2 linked regions of the Xenopus tropicalis genome follow. The protein of the gene in region 2 purifies or fractionates together with the protein of the main gene of each other region. This does not show direct contact. Links are inferred from orthologs where the notes say so. Each region holds a gene or a part of one and is shown on either strand. Other genes may lie near its edges.

Region 1 (4,084 bases), on a different chromosome or scaffold from region 2:
GGACTGGGGCTGTGGGATAGCAGGTATAGTAGGGAGAGATGGTGCCTATAGTAGCAGTGGGGGGATAATAGCCTCTGGGAAGGGACTGGGGCTGTGGGATAGCAGGTATAGTAGGGAGAGATGGTGCCTATAGTAGCAGTGGGGGGATAATAGCCTCTGGGAAGGGACTGGGGCTGTGGGATAGCAGGTATAGTAGGGAGAGATGGTGCCTATAGTAGCCGTGGGGGGATAATAGCCTCTGGGAAGGGACTGGGGCTGTGGGATAGCAGGTATAGTAGGGAGAGATGGTGCCTATAGTAGCAGTGGGGGGATAATAGCCTCTGGGAAGGGACTGGGGCTGTGGGATAGCAGGTATAGTAGGGGGAGATGGTGCCTATAGTAGCCCCAGTTCTACTCATTTACTGGTCGGTACAACTATACTATTCAATTTTTTTTTCTCCCTGAGAGTACTGACTTTGGCACATATCTAGATATGAGAGGTTACTACACCTTTACTACATGTACCAAGCCTTTGCTATTATTACTGTACATATATCACTTGCTCCTGGTAGTAGTGGCTCATACTAACGCGTTACTCCGGGTTCTACTCACCCCCTGCCCCGGGCAGCCCAGCACTTGCCCTGCAGGTAGAGGCGACAAAGATGCAGCTTGTCGCACTCCTTCTCCTCTTCCTTCTGTTTCAGGTAGTCGGGGCAGATTCGCATAGCGGTCCGGGCCAACACCAGATCCCCCGATACGGAGAAGCGATGCGGCTCCTCTTGGAGAATCTGCTCGATCTGCTCCGGGGGCAGTTGCAGGAGGTCCCCCAGCTGGGAGCGGCGGAGGCGGCCCTCATGGTTGCAGAGGAGGCTGGTGAGGTAGGAGCTCACTCTGGGGTCGGACATGGCTCTGGCACCGGGGGAAGCGAGTTCCGCCTTTAGTGTATAGAGCGCCTCCTACCTGCCCCGGACTGAGGGAGAAACGAAACTGAAACAGGGGGCGGGGCAAAGAGAGTAGCGACGTCATCAGTATGCCGGTCCCTCCATACAAAATCCGCCCTCACAGAGTAGTTCGCATCCATAAATCGTGAAAGAAACAACCATTCAAATGCAGAGACTCCCACATATTGGTACAAACCCGCCAAGGTACAGGTTTGGGCTATATTTTGGAGCCTTTTACTTTGGAAACTAGCCAAAGTTGTGTTTCCCTCTAGTGTGCCTATCCCACTGCATGCTGGGTAATGTAGTTTGTATTTAATAATTAGCCTACAGCTAGGATTGATATAAAACTACAATACCCAGCATGCAATTGGACAGTATAGACAGAGGTTCCTATTTCTATTCCATTCAGGCTCAACCTGCTCCCTGCTCTATAGGGTATGTGATTGTACTGTTACTTTCTACTGGGATGTGGGGCAGTTCTACCCCCTGCTCTATAGGGTATGTGATTGTACTGTTACTTTCTACTGGGATGTGGGGCAGTTCTACCCCCTGCTCCCTGCTCTATAGGGTATGTGATTGTACTGTTACTTTCTACTGGGATGTGGGGCAGTTCTACCCCCTGCTCTATAGGGTATGTGATTGTACTGTTACTTTCTACTGGGATGTGGGGCAGTTCTACCCCCTGCTCCCTGCTCTATAGGGTATGTGATTGTACTGTTACTTTCTACTGGGATGTGGGGCAGTTCTACCCCCTGCTCCCTGCTCTATAGGGTATGTGATTGTACTGTTACTTTCTACTGGGATGTGGGGCAGTTCTACCCCCTGCTCTATAGGGTATGTGATTGTACTGTTACTTTCTACTGGGATGTGGGGCAGTTCTACCCCCTGCTCTATAGGGTATGTGATTGTACTGTTACTTTCTACTGGGATGTGGGGCAGTTCTACCCCCTGCTCTATAGGGTATGTGATTGTACTGTTACTTTCTACTGGGATGTGGGGCAGTTCTACCCCCTGCTCTATAGGGTATGTGATTGTACTGTTACTTTCTACTGGGATGTGGGGCAGTTCTACCCCCTGCTCCCTGCTCTATAGGGTATGTGATTGTACTGTTACTTTCTACTGGGATGTGGGGCAGTTCTACCCCCTGCTCTATAGGGTATGTGATTGTACTGTTACTTTCTACTGGGATGTGGGGCAGTTCTACCCCCTGCTCTATAGGGTATGTGATTGTACTGTTACTTTCTACTGGGATGTGGGGCAGTTCTACCCCCTGCTCCCTGCTCTATAGGGTATGTGATTGTACTGTTACTTTCTACTGGGATGTGGGGCAGTTCTACCCCCTGCTCTATAGGGTATGTGATTGTACTGTTACTTTCTACTGGGATGTGGGGCAGTTCTAGCCCCTGCTCCCTGCTCTATAGGGTATGTGATTGTACTGTTACTTTCTACTGGGATGTGGGGCAATTCTACCCCCTGCTCCCTGCTCTATAGGGTATGTGATTGTACTGTTACTTTCTACTGGGATGTGGGGCAGTTCTACCCCCTGCTCTATAGGGTATGTGATTGTACTGTTACTTTCTACTGGGATGTGGGGCAGTTCTACCCCCTGCTCCCTGCTCTATAGGGTATGTGATTGTACTGTTACTTTCTACTGGGATGTGGGGCAGTTCTACCCCCTGCTCCCTGCTCTATAGGGTATGTGATTGTACTGTTACTTTCTACTGGGATGTGGGGCAGTTCTACCCCCTGCTCTATAGGGTATGTGATTGTACTGTTACTTTCTACTGGGATGTGGGGCAGTTCTACCCCCTGCTCTATAGGGTATGTGATTGTACTGTTACTTTCTACTGGGATGTGGGGCAGTTCTACCCCCTGCTCTATAGGGTATGTGATTGTACTGTTACTTTCTACTGGGATGTGGGGCAGTTCTAGCCCCTGCTCCCTGCTCTATAGGGTATGTGACTGTACCATTACTTTCTACTGGGATGTGGGGCAGTTCTACCCCCTGCTCCCTGCTCTATAGGGTATGTGATTGTACTGTTACTTTCTACTGGGATGTGGGGCAGTTCTACCCCCTGCTCCCTGCTCTATAGGGTATGTGATTGTACTGTTACTTTCTACTGGGATGTGGGGCAGTTCTACCCCCTGCTCTATAGGGTATGTGATTGTACTGTTACTTTCTACTGGGATGTGGGGCAGTTCTACCCCCTGCTCTATAGGGTATGTGATTGTACTGTTACTTTCTACTGGGATGTGGGGCAGTTCTACCCCCTGCTCCCTGCTCTATAGGGTATGTGACTGTACCATTACTTTCTACTGGGATGTGGGGCAGTTCTACCCCCTGCTCCCTGCTCTATAGGGTATGTGATTGTACCGTTACTTTCTACTGGGATGTGGGGCAGTTCTACCCCCTGCTCCCTGCTCTATAGGGTATGTGATTGTACTGTTACTTTCTACTGGGATGTGGGGCAGTTCTGCCGTTGATCCTTAAGCTATAACTTTCAGGATATCTTGGGGCTGCTGGGAGTTGTAGTTCAACGCACCCATATGTATATCATGTCTGGGGTTAATGCAACATCATCTAGTGGACTGGGCACAGAGGGAATTATCAGCCATCCCAGTAACTGGAGAGGGGGCACAGGGCTTGGGTAGTGATTATACACTTTAAGGTATGGAGATCCAAATTATGGAAAGATCCCTTATTCGGAAAACCCCAGGTCCCGAGCATTCTGGATAACAGGTCCCATACCTGTACCATCTTTGTCTGCATAAATAAACCAGTTGTTAATTAGTTCATCAAGAGCTTCTGGTGTCCGTTTGCTTAATTACTGCATTTTACGCTTACACGTTGCAGTGGGAGGTGTAGTTGCACAACACCCTCCATATAGAAACTTCCCCTTAGTGAAGGCCCATCCTGCTGAAGAGGATTCCAATGTATCCCATGCTCTACCCATAGCTGGAATTTGTCTACTTTAGCCAAAAAGGGGTTAAACACAGACTGCCAGTCCGGGCTGTCAGCCAGTGCCTATGGGATGCCCCTACCTCTATTTATAAAAATAGATCACATGATGTGTTCCCTTCCTGACACAGAGCCCATGGCCCTGTAACTCCTCCCCCTGGGCTTTTGCTGCCTATAGAAAAGCAGCACAGGGGAATATGCAGAT
Region 2 (2,795 bases):
ACAGAGGCTGAAGAGTAATAGATGCGATTTCTGTAACCAAAAATAGCTGTGGGATTGAGGGGGATCTCTGGGTACTGAAAGTAACAGCATAGCAGAAGTACTTGTGTGTCTGGTGTGTTATTATTATTATAGGAAATGACCTAGGTTCCTTGCAACCTGCAGGTGAAACTTTCAAAAATGCGTGAACACTTCGCTGCCTGTACCAAATATGATAAATATGTCATGAATGGAATTAAGGCTGTCAAAAAGAGCCACTCCCAGGAAACTGGGTGAGTATGTTTTCCACACAGTAGTGACCAGAACATTCCTTTTCCAATACGTCCTTTTTATCCTCCATATGTAGATCTTAAGGCATTTAAATGATTGTACTTCATCTTCCTTCCCACAGTGATGTCCCAAACCGCTTCACCTTTACTTGCCCCTACTGCCAGGAACAGAACCTTGCTCAGGAAGGATTAGTGGATCACTGCAAGAGGTTTCACATGAGCGATCCAACGCCTGTGGTGAGTTGATGACGGGACTATTGTATTGCTGCTACTGGAACACTCGCGTTTGGCTCTGTCTTAAGAAAAATTGTTTATACCCAAGTATGGAATAAGATTTAGCTGTCATTTGTTTACTGTACATTATATATCGGCATAATTGTGTTTGTTTGTGGCAGTGGCTTTGACAAGCTAACCTCCAGTGTCCATATTGTCAGAGGAAGTGGCTCAGCCTTGCAAAGCAGTAACATTTCAATAAAACATCTCGGGGTACCCTTGTTTTATCCACTCAAACCATATACAATTGTATTAGTTTCTGTCCAGTTGCTAAGGTATCGCATACCCAGTAACCAGGCTTTGGTTGGAATGACATGACAGAAAGTAAATAGATGAGGGGCTAAATAGCTTGATAATAATAATCATCGTCATCATCATATAGCCTTCCCCATAACAAAAGAATAAATGAAATATTAGGTTTTTAATTAGGCAAAATTTAAAAGGCACAAAAATTGACCATATTTTTTTTTTAGGCAAATTTTATCACTCTATTTTTGTGTTGCACTGTGGGTATCAAACAACAGCTCTGCAGTTTGGTATATGTATTTGCATTCAATTTGCTCAGTTCGATGCTTTGGATATAACACATTAAGTTACCAACATATAAGTGATAATTGTCATTTGATTAACAGTAAAACTGGTGGTGCTGTAACTTAACCATGACTTAATCTTTCTCTTGTTCCATTAGGTTTGCCCAATCTGTGCCTCCATGCCATGGGGAGATCCAGGTTACAGGAGCGCCAACTTCATAGAGCACATTCATCGCAGGCATCGTTTCTCCTATGACACCTTTGTGGTATGTATCAGGCTGGGGGAACACCATTACAGTGACATGATGTTAGAGTATCATCATGTGTGTGCATAATGGATATGAAGCAATGTGTGGGGAATGGGAGTGGCCATACCCTGGACGATAAAAGCTGCAGACATAAGTCGGCCATACACGCGCGATAATATCGTACGAAACTATGTTTCATATGATATTCGGTGCATGTTGGATCGACGAGACAACTGATATTGCAAAAGCCTTAGATATCTGTCGTCTTGTCAATCGGGCGGGACAAAAGCTGCATTTAAGGGTGAATTCCTGTTGTTTTTACCTCCTGATCTGACTATTCAGCCCTCAATGTCAATAGAGGGTACAAACGATCTTAAAGAGCGAAAGATTACGAAAGATGGCAATTGTTACATGTATGGCCACCTTTAGTCATTCCAGCTTATTTGGCTTGCCCAACTGATTTTTGGCTGAATAATCAGGCTGGTTAAAAAATCCTTGCCCCAAAAGCCTGCATTCCCATGGTTGTGATCCAACTGTTTGGCTCAAGAGCCACACAATAGGACAGAAATGAGCTGATTTTTATGTGTATGGCCAGCTTTAACCCCCTCCAGTAACTCCTAGCAACTAGTTAGCTTTTGCACCTGATTATTATAACTGGCTTAGGATACACTGTAATAAACTAACTCTGCAGAGAGGCATTTGTTACACTGCTGATACATATACAGTGGTAGGTAGTGGGGGAATTAGAATCTCTTAATCCAAACCCTTCCTTTTTCCATAAGGATTACAGCGCCGATGAAGAAGCAATGATGAATGAAGCATTAGTGCGGTCTATTTCAGAGAACTGAGCCTTCTACGGATTGGATCAGAAGCAGAAATTCCTGCGTGGTTGTGCCCACCGTGGCAACTTGGCAATAGCCTTTCAACAACTTCCTCCGTGTTATTTTTCATTTCGTATATGATTATACACTTCCCTCATGTATAAAAAAAAAAAAAAACCCCAAATGAGGTGCTTCTTTTAATATAACATATGAATGTATTGGAGTGGTTGTCTGTGTATGTGGAACCCAAATTCAGTCAGGTTCATTTAATTGTTTTGCAGCTTTAAGGGTTAGGGGACATTACGCTGGCGTTTATCAGCCCTGCTGGCCATTATGTGAACTGCCCAACCATTCTCAACCTGAAAATGTGCTAGAAAGGTTGTCAGGCCAAGAGCAGTAGCACCTATGGGCAGATCTAATTAAGGTCAGTGGAAGTTGCCCAGAGCAGTTTTGGGTGCTGAACCGATATTCGCCCCATATGCCTTCAGCCTAGAATGCAGCAGTTTCAGGTTGAACCTGCAAATGGTACTTGATCAAGAGCAATGTTCATGTTTTCATGTTTTTTAGCGAGCTGAAGCATCTGTAACTCTTATGTAAATGAATAACAAATTGCACCTTTATAAAAACACGCTCATTTTTCTCCCAAAAATTGGTGTA

What was found.
Region 1: the proteins of rnf114 (region 2) and protein mono-ADP-ribosyltransferase PARP12 purify together in Homo sapiens (affinity purification with mass spectrometry; 3 studies listed by BioGRID and IntAct, counting the BioPlex papers as one, with this or other methods). This does not show direct contact. The link is inferred for Xenopus tropicalis from reciprocal best matches to the Homo sapiens genes RNF114 and PARP12.

The regions. Positions count from the first base shown.
Region 1 is NC_030679.2:8,065,942-8,070,025, reverse strand, and holds the start of protein mono-ADP-ribosyltransferase PARP12, read left to right. Parts: upstream 1-1,282; 5' UTR 1,283-1,355; intron 1,356-4,084. Other genes in the region: zinc finger CCCH-type antiviral protein 1, read right to left, coding at 592-884.
Region 2 is NC_030686.2:36,181,115-36,183,909, forward strand, and holds the end of rnf114 (E3 ubiquitin-protein ligase RNF114), read left to right. Parts: intron 1-162; coding exon 163-269; intron 270-388; coding exon 389-503; intron 504-1,227; coding exon 1,228-1,335; intron 1,336-2,099; coding exon 2,100-2,165; 3' UTR 2,166-2,277; downstream 2,278-2,795. UniProt on the Homo sapiens protein: E3 ubiquitin-protein ligase that promotes the ubiquitination of various substrates. In turn, participates in the regulation of many biological processes including cell cycle, apoptosis, osteoclastogenesis as well as innate or adaptive immunity.